2 linked regions of the Drosophila melanogaster genome follow. The gene in region 1 interacts genetically with each later gene. Each region holds a gene or a part of one and is shown on either strand. Other genes may lie near its edges. The genes, in order: CtsB and cathD.

Evidence for each region.
Region 2: of CtsB (region 1) and cathD, changing one enhances a phenotype caused by changing the other (phenotypic enhancement), as found in Drosophila melanogaster (one study listed by BioGRID).

Annotation. Positions count from the first base shown.
Region 1 is NC_004354.4:13,779,327-13,783,970, reverse strand, and holds CtsB (cathepsin B), read left to right. Parts: upstream 1-1,800; 5' UTR 1,801-2,041; coding exon 2,042-2,161; intron 2,162-2,237; coding exon 2,238-2,498; intron 2,499-2,644; coding exon 2,645-2,812; intron 2,813-3,320; coding exon 3,321-3,794; 3' UTR 3,795-4,124; downstream 4,125-4,644. Other genes in the region: amrt (amaretto), read right to left, coding at 798-1,472.
Region 2 is NT_033778.4:7,820,004-7,825,450, forward strand, and holds the start of cathD (cathepsin D), read right to left. Parts: upstream 3,567-5,447; 5' UTR 3,464-3,566; coding exon 2,546-3,463; intron 2,483-2,545; coding exon 2,222-2,482; 3' UTR 2,108-2,221; intron 1-2,107. Other genes in the region: CG30383 (uncharacterized protein), read right to left, coding at 4,123-4,455, 4,689-5,120.

The sequences.
Region 1 (4,644 bases):
CTTTTGCCTGTCATCACTAGTTTGCTTTTTTTGTCTTGTTTATTTTTGTGTATTTTGCATAAATTCCCGGCTAACAATTATATATTTTCGTTTGTTTTATTTATGCACCGCGCAGTGCTTATTGTTGTTGCCGTTTCTTGCGGGAGAGATGCGACGCGCACGCAGCGTCGTCAATGGAGAAAAATAAAAGAGAAAGCGCCCGCTCAGCTCAGCCAGTCTCCGTTGACCGCGCGGTTGGCGAGCTTTCTTGCAACTGACTTTCGAGTTTGAACGCGAAACTTTCGATTTCCATTTCCCGATGGCGAAGGACGATAGCCATCATACGATAACGATAGCCCAATGGAAAGCAGCTGTCGGAAATGCAATGGATCCACTGAACAAATTTTGGAACAGCTGTGGCGCTACATTCGAATTGAACAAAATATACTTTAAAATTAAAAATAAAAACGATTGTGCAAAGTCAAAACGTCCCTTTTGATGCTATGCGGGCATTTTTGCACGGATCAAAGCTGTAGTTTTGGTGTAAGCTAAAAAAACAATTGGTTTAAGAGGCAGTCATTTGATTGTCTTAGGCATATAAAAACTATTTAACTGTACTTCTAAATATTTATTTATCCTTACTTTACATCTAATAGATATGTATGAAATTATTAATTTCAATGATTTTATAACAAAGGTATTTATAATGAAATAAGGGGCAAGTTAATTTAATTTCCTAACACTACGAATTAATCAGTGAACAAGATTAATCTTATTTAACTACTTAAAGCTATGACACAGAGGCATATCACACACGTCTAGACATAGGGATTCCAATTGCTGCCGTCCTCGGGCAGCAAATTGTTGGTGATCAGGAGGATGACGTCGATGATCCACCAAACGCCCACGCCGCCCATGGTAAGCAGTTTGCCCACAGCCGTGCCCGTTTGACCGAGACAGAAGCGATCCATACCGAGGAAACCCAGCAGCATGCTGTAGATCAGTGTGGTCACAAAGTAGTGATCCGTGTAGCGGACACAGGGCACTCCGGCGCGCAGAAAGGTGCGATTACCGTAGCACTCGATGTCGGCAAACACGGTGCACCAGACCATGGCGTGCTCCACCTCTTCGTACGTGGAACCACCGAACTTCAGGCATCCGTATTTCTTTTCCTGCTGCGCCGTGGCGTTCTCCCGATGATCGACGGGATCCTTGCAATCGAGAAAGTCGCGCGGCAGAAACGAGCACATCACATTCGGTCCCAGTGGATAGAAGGCCGAGTTTCCAGCTCCGCCCGAGGCGGAAGATGCCGAAGATGACGATGAGGAGGGTCCCATGCCGGAGCCCAGTTGCGCCTGAACGGGCACCACCGATTGCACCGCCGTGCCGGAGACCACAGTCTGCGGCTGCTCCTTGTCGCTGCGTGCCTGTATCGCTTGGGCATCGTGTTGTCTGGCCACCAGGAACGCCAGTAGTCCGTAGAAAATCCGCATCTTTGCGAGCTCCTTATCAAAATATAGCTAGCCAGTGTGGCCACACCTTAGCACAGCTAACAGAGCTCTGTTATCTGCGATGGCCTACCGATAGTTCTGATTTTAAGCACCACGACAACGAATGGAAATAAATAAATGCAAATAAACCACCTTTCAAGTAACAGTGCTCCTTAGCATATTTATTGGCATTAGTGTGATCGTAGTCTTTAGTTAAGTACATTTAGTGAAGTGCTATTTAGTATAATGCGTTTATTTATTTCAGACTAGTTACCAATCACGCGCCCATCTCTACATTCGATAGGCAACGGCCCTGTTGCATTGGTGTGCACACACTGGCCGCGTAATCAGCGGGCGCGAACCATTTTTTTTTTTTTTTGTGCGACAGAACAAAAACAAGAGAATAATAGACGCTTAAAGAGCATTACCCGTCCGAATTTCACGGGCAGTACGAAAACAAGAACGGAGCAGAGAGCCCGCTTAATACGACGCGTCATTTTCCACCATTTTACTGCTGTGATTTGTTTGAATTTTGCTGTGTCAGCGCATTGGAAATTCGTTGGACAAGAATAATGAATCTATTGCTCCTGGTGGCCACCGCGGCCTCCGTGGCGGCACTCACGTCCGGTGAGCCGTCACTGCTCTCGGATGAGTTCATCGAGGTGGTGCGCAGTAAGGCCAAAACCTGGACGGTAAATTCCTTTGTTTCCAACCCTTTTCTTGCTGACGTGACAAGAAAATTGCATTTTCCCGTTTCCTATCCGCCAGGTGGGTCGCAATTTCGATGCATCCGTAACGGAGGGACATATTCGCCGCCTGATGGGCGTCCATCCGGATGCGCACAAGTTCGCACTGCCCGACAAGCGTGAAGTTCTTGGCGATCTATACGTGAATAGCGTTGACGAACTTCCCGAAGAGTTCGATTCCCGCAAGCAATGGCCAAACTGCCCAACCATTGGCGAGATTCGCGACCAGGGTTCATGCGGCTCCTGCTGGGCCTTTGGTGCCGTGGAAGCCATGTCCGATCGCGTACGTAGCTTACCTTATCGATATTATAACCCCTTCCATTCTTTGTTTGTCCAGCTGATAAATTTCCCCATTTTTTTTTATTATTATTTTCTTTTTGTATTTGTTATCAATGATTTTTTTTTTTTTACTGATTTCGCAATGGGCAGGTGTGCATCCATTCCGGCGGCAAGGTGAATTTCCACTTTTCGGCCGATGATCTCGTCTCCTGCTGCCACACCTGCGGATTTGGCTGCAATGGCGGTTTCCCCGGCGCCGCCTGGAGCTACTGGACGCGCAAGGGAATCGTCAGCGGAGGACCCTACGGATCTAATCAGGTTGGTGATCTTCTCCTGCTTTAATGGGATTTTGCAAATCATATTTAGTTTGGTTTAAAAGGGCTTGCAATTTGGTTTTGCTTGCAGATGAGTTTCCAATAAAAAAAAGGGTTTGTTTTCTAACGAAGAAAAACATACTTTATGTGCAAAAATAACCTGTATTTGTACATATTGTATTTCTACGCCGAAATAGTTAGAAAGCAACTTGATTTTGTTCTTTGTTTACTTGAAGTGAACTGAAGACTCAGTTTACGACGCCATAAAAAATTGTATACCACAGATATCGCTAGAAAGCGGCTTAGTATATCATATACAAACATCCATATACACAAAGCTATATGTATATATATCATATACGAACATCTATAGATATACATGCATATATTGTGAATGCACTCCAGATTCGCGTACATCCTCAACGATAAGTTTTAGCTGCTACTAACTCATTTCCCAGATATAGTAAGGCAAACAGAAGAAAAAACGATTCTAATATGCACTTATTTTGCAGGGCTGCCGTCCTTACGAGATTTCTCCCTGTGAGCACCATGTGAATGGAACCCGACCACCATGTGCCCATGGCGGTAGAACGCCCAAGTGTTCGCACGTCTGCCAGAGCGGTTACACCGTCGATTATGCCAAGGACAAGCACTTCGGCTCCAAGTCGTACTCGGTGAGGCGTAATGTGCGTGAAATTCAGGAGGAGATCATGACCAATGGACCGGTTGAGGGCGCCTTCACCGTTTATGAGGATCTCATTCTGTACAAGGACGGTGTCTATCAGCACGAGCATGGCAAGGAGCTGGGCGGTCATGCCATTCGCATTTTGGGCTGGGGCGTTTGGGGCGAGGAGAAGATTCCGTACTGGCTAATTGGTAACTCGTGGAACACCGATTGGGGCGATCATGGTTTCTTCCGCATCCTGCGTGGCCAGGATCATTGCGGCATCGAGAGCTCCATTTCGGCGGGTCTGCCCAAGCTGTAAATGTTATATGTATTCCGGCATCAAGCTGATATATCAAAACCCCTCTATTTTCTATCATCCCTCCTTTTATTTTCATTCCGATTCGCAACTGACGTTTGTAGTTAATGTAAACAACCTAAACCTGATTGATAATAAAGTATTGTATATGACTGTGGAACTGTACTTTGCTCGTATACAGTGGGACCTCTCTAACTAGAAACAAGGCAAACAAAAAAAAGAAAATGATTATCAAACTGGAACTCAGATATAATTAAAAGCGAATAATACTATTTGTGAAACAATGCTATAACTATCCAACTATAAACTATTGTTTAGCGTAGCTATGCCTTTTTTATTTAATAGTAGAGATTAATAGTAGAGAGTATCTGATCCTCTATACTATGTACACACATTTAAATGGAACGCCGTCAATCGTTCAATCGTTAAACTGGCTAGCTGTATGTTTTGCGAGTTATAAATGTGATTAGCATCGCATTTGATTAATCAAACAAAGAGTACAGCTTGCAATCGCATTCGTCATTTGGTGCGATTTTGTTGAGTTAATTTATTATTACATTAGTTAGCTTGGCCATACATACATACATACATACATATATGTACATACATATGTAAAACTTATCTCGTTGAAGCTGCCCACAATTTGCAGCACCAAATGTCCATTCAAATTGTACACATATTTATTCACATAACATGTTTTATTTATTTTTCTCATTTGCAACATCAAATAGAACATTTGTTTTGTATTTTCAGTTTTTTTTTTGTTATCTTGTCATGAACCAACCGCTTCTCTTATCGATTTTCTGTGAATTGATTGACTGGTTTTGTAGCCACTCTTCTATTCACCGAAACT
Region 2 (5,447 bases), on another chromosome or scaffold:
AATGTAAAACAAATTCTTCAATACTACTTTTTCCCTAAAATGTCACAAATAGCCGCTACCTTTGTTTCTAACTGCTTGGTTTGTCAAAAAGCCAAATACGACCGCCATCCGCAAAAGCAAATCCTCGGGAGAACACCTATTCCGTCACATGTAGGCGAGACATTGCATATTGATATATTTTCTACGGACAGGAATTACTTTTTGACATGTATTGACAAATTTTCCAAATTCGCTATTGTGCAACCAATCGGCTCTCGAACGATAACTGATTTAGAACCTGCAATTATGCAACTAATGAACTTTTTTCCCCATTCAAAGACAATATTTTGTGACAATGAACCGTCCATAAATTCCGAGTCAATCAAGTCACTTTTGAAAAATCGTTTTAATGTTGACATAGCGAACGCACCTCCACTTCATAGTACCTCAAACGGACAGGTTGAAAGGTTTCACAGCACGCTTTTAGAAATAGCTCGATGCCTGAAACTTGACAGTGGAATGAATGATACAGTCAACCTTATTCTTCAGGCAACAATAGAATACAATAAGACGGTGCACTCAGTCACCAATAGAAGACCGATCGACATTATTCATTCAACTCCTCCCGAATTGGCTAACGAGATAGTAGAAATGGTTAACGAAGCTCAGGAAAAACAGCTAAGAAGAGAAAATGTAACAAGACGAGACAGAACCTTTGAGGTGGGAGAAACCGTCATGGTAAAACAAAACAATCGCTTGGGAAATAAACTAACCCCACGGTATAGGGAAGAACTAATCGAAGCAGACCTCGGGACAACGGTCCTCATAAAAGGGAGGGTCGTTCATAAAGATAATCTACGCTAGGTTTAGTATTTCTTTTCCTTTTGTGACCATCGCCAAGTTAGCAAAATACAAACGTGAAATCTGAACACTAGTAAAAGAGTTTGCAAACATTTTTCAATTAAATATTTGTCAAATCCTTCTTATTTAATCTTTAAACATTTTGTATTATTTCCGCTTCATCCTCTTTAGAAAATTTTAAAGGTATGTGATGAAATGCTAGACCCGAATGATTTGAAAACTTAAAGTCCACGCAACCACAAATATTTCCTGAAACTACCATAGAAAATAAATGCATTACCAAAACGGCATAATAACAGTATAGCGCACTCACTCTAATTAGATTTCAAATTCCCGATTAAAAAAAAATAAAACACTAATGTTATCAATACCCTTTCCTGATTCTGTTCAACTAAATAGGAAAATCAATACTTGCAATCAATAAGCGTTTTACTACATACTTTAATATCAAAAATATCTGAATGAACTTTATTATAAAATTATAATTGTTATACTTAATTATTGTCAAAACTTTAGTATTAAAACTGTAACTACCTCTTAAGTAGATGAGAAGAGTAGAAGAGGGAATTAAGATCTATCAACGTAGTATCTGCTAAAGACGTAAAGATGCGGCAACTATTTCTGCGCCTGGGTACTGAAACGACGAACTGAATAATATCTGCCATCAGACGCCAACCAGAGTGCGTTCAACACATACGTTTTGATGGTCAACTAGTTCAACCAACATCAGCATCATCGTCGTCAACAAGTCGACGGTTACAATAAAGATTTTTTCCAAGTTCGCTACGATCATCTCCAGAACCTTGTTGCGAACCCATGACATGGAGAATCAGCAGCATTTACGAACTTCTCGGATCATCCAGACACGCAGAGCTGCCTTCCCTTCGATGGTTTAACGCAGTACCAGGTTGGCAGTATGGGAACTTAGTGCACAACCAATGTTACCCGTAAGATCCGCTTTCAAATAGATTTGCCAATTGTAAAAAGTCTGTGGACAGCCTTCGTCTTAGAAGGGGAGGAGTTAACACAATCACAAAACACCCGAAATATAGTCGTAAGCCTCAAGTGCTTTTCCCATCTATAGATCGAGCTTTACCTATAAGAAACTGTAACTTGTTAAGCTTTAGAGATAAGAACTCTTGCTATACTTAAGTTAGTCGATTTTGGAAGATTAGAAGCGTCGGTCATCGCCACGTACTTACTATTCGTCTCATTAAGTGCAGACCGCGCAAGCCCTATTGTAATTAATAAACTTACGCTAATAAATATATGGAAAATCTACTAAAATGATAATTTATATATTATTCTTCGGAGAAACCCGCAATGGGATCGATCGATAATGTTTACAATTTAAATTTTAAGTATACTTTTCTTTGTTCGATTATTTGGCATCGGCGAAGCCCACACGATCGTTGCCCATGTCAAACTCGGTGTAGTATTTGCCAATGAAAACGTCACCGAGGATCCACAAGGGTCCGTTTGGAGGGGGGATGTCCAAGCCCATAAAGCCGGACAGACAGATGGTCTTACCCATCTGGGCCACACGGAGAATATAGTCCTTGCCCTCGAGCTCGAAGGTCTTTCCGCCCAGCACAAACTTGATTACCGGCAATTGGGGAATGAGATCGCAAGAAACCACATACTAAAGTAAGAAATTAAGAGGATTAGCAGTGCTTCATGTGAGAACTTAGAGCATGGTACTCACCTGACCACCGATGATGGGAGTTCCACCAATCTTCTGGTTAATAGAGGTGGCCTCTTCCAAGGGCGCAGCAATTAGTGAGGTACCGGTGTCAGCGATCACCTGGCAACCGCCCTTGCACAGCTGCAAATCGCCAATGGAGGCGGCATCCATCTTGATTTGCCAGTAGGCCTTGCGGGTAACGGGCAAGTAGGTGAATTCACCAGTGTAGTGGTTGGGATCGGAGCCGCCAAAGATGATCTCACCGCCCTCGGGCGAGGCGGGATCGCGATTCAGGTAGAATGAGAACACCGGAGCGGAGATCAAACCCTGTTCGTACATGGCGTAAAATGGCGGCTTCACCTTGTCCACCGAGATGGAGTTGTAGCCCAGGCCTAGGATGCCGTCGAACTTGGCAGCTACGAAGACCAGGCCCGGCTCACTGAGCGCCTCAGCGAATGTCTGATCCTTGATGTCCAGGCCGGCAATGGACACCGTATCCGTGGACAGGTATCCGGACAAGCTGCCCGAGCCATACTGGATGGCGAACTCAGTGCCGTTCTTGGTGTAGGTCTTCGACTTGGAGGCATCGTACTTGTTGTGCATCAAACAGGCGATGTTGGTCAGGTGGCACTTCTTGGACGGCACCCACAAGTTCGAGGAGCCGGTGTCGAAAACCACACGGAAGTTCTGCGGTGGCGAGCCAATGGCAATGGGCCCATAGTACTGCGCGTCCATATAGTTGGACAGCGGTTCCGGCACATCACCTCCGCCGTACCTAATGCGCAATTGCTGCAGCTCCGTGCCCACATCCGCAAAGTGCCGGCGGGCCGACTGAAATTTGTGGAGCGGTACGCGCAGCAATCCGGGCTTCTCCTGCGAATTTGGGTGGGCCACGGCCGCAGCCAGGAAGGCGACTAGAAGCAGTGCAACCTTCTGCATTTTGATTTCTATGTTACGCTTCTCTGGTGGCTAAAACTGCAATGATCGCTGCAGTTAATTAAATATTGCGGCACAGCGAAAATGATTCAGCACAGATAATGTACTAAATTTGGCTTGGCGCGTCGTTTTGATTAGAGAGATTCGATAGTTTTTGTTGTAAACTAATGCAATTCTTTAATTTTCGGAATGTTTCTTTTTAATATTTCGCGTTTATGTATATATAATACAAATGTATCATTATTTCTACACATTTAGGAAGAGCTTGTATCATGACTACGATCTTACTTTAGAGACAATAAGGGAAAGCTAAAAAAGTATTTCCCATCTTTCATTTTTAAACGCTTTTATGAGCAAACAATTAACAATTATGATGAGCAACCTTAATGTATTAATTGATAATATAGATAACAATCGTAAGGAGCGGGTCGAAGCTGAATTTCGAATCTTTACTTGTATATATAAATTCTAATAAATTCATGATAACATGGAATTATATATTAAAATATGAATAGTAAGTTGTATTTTGAGCTTAAATGGTTCAAAAATATTACAAAAATAGTCTTCTTATAGTCACCTAAAATCCAGAGAAATAATTTTATACTATTGATTAAAATGAAATAAAAGTATTAAATATAGATAAAAGATATAGCTAATCCTTTCTAGTACTTTTTACAATCACTTATTACTCGACAAAGTTTGGATTTGACCTTAGCACAGACATCCAAATCGGAGATTAGGTCATCAATGTTCGTTCGGAACGGAGTAACTCTAGCAGTATCCTCGAATGACTGTTTGGCGCGCCGCATTCTTTCGTGAATCTCACTCATATCGAGCATCTTTCCAATAGAAAGCTCATGGTTGGTGGACAACAGTACCGAGAACAGAACGGCGGACTCCATGGAGACTTTGCTTCGATACCCAACGCAGGTTTTCTGCTCCATTTCATCGCTTTCCATGAGCACGGTTTGGCATCTTTTCAGGGAATCGCCTTTCTATAAAAATCGAGCAAAAATTAATATCATACTATTGGATTAAGAGAGTAAGAGATATAAGATTATAATGTGATGTGTAAGTGCCCGGATAACTGCATAAGGATAGATTAAATTAAATTAAAAAAAGGGTACTTATTGTTTATTAACGAAAGCAATTTTAAGTAAATACATTCATATTTATGCATGTACATAGTAAATTGGCATCAAAATTATTCGCCGACAGATATGCTTACCTTAATCTTCTTGATATCTTCAGGTTGGATAAAATGTTTCTGGCGCTGGACTACAAATCGAGCTGCAAGGTCACAATCCGGAGTGTACTGGTAGCCTTGGGCAACGCGCCTGAAGAATGGATGCAGATCCAGAAGCTTAAGGCGTTTTTGGGCCATCTCCGAAAGCTGATAGGTGTCCAGTTGGGGCAGAACTTCGGTTAGGAATAAATGGCACACTTCCTTGGCAGTGAGATCCCTGAAAGCCTCGTTCCTGGTGTTCCACTCCTTCCAGGCTGAAGCATCCTGGATGTAAAACAGACGGCACGACGCAACAGCGTAGTCGATCAACTCCCTGTGGATCGATTGTTCAGCATCGTGCAAAAGCGTAGATCGAGCAATACGGCCGATATTGGCATTAAATTCCGCTTCGTCCACAGTTTCGTCCATTTTCATTCCCAATATAAAACATTTTATTATAAAACAGTAAAGAATCGGTTTAATTTCAACGTGCGCTTTCAGATCTGCACTCTTTTTGTAATCGATAACTGCTGTGTATCGTATGCGGCACTGAGACTATTGAAATCTTAGGGAATGTTTAGGAAATAGGAACATCTGGAGTTAAATGTATTTCAAAACCGAAAGCCACAACTTTCCTTAAAATATTATGCCAAAAAAAAATCTACTAATATAAATTTAAACATAATACTTAATTCTTTATTTATGTTAATTCATAATAATTTCTCTTCCAAGGGAAGTGTATTTGGAGTGCGGCTACTAGCA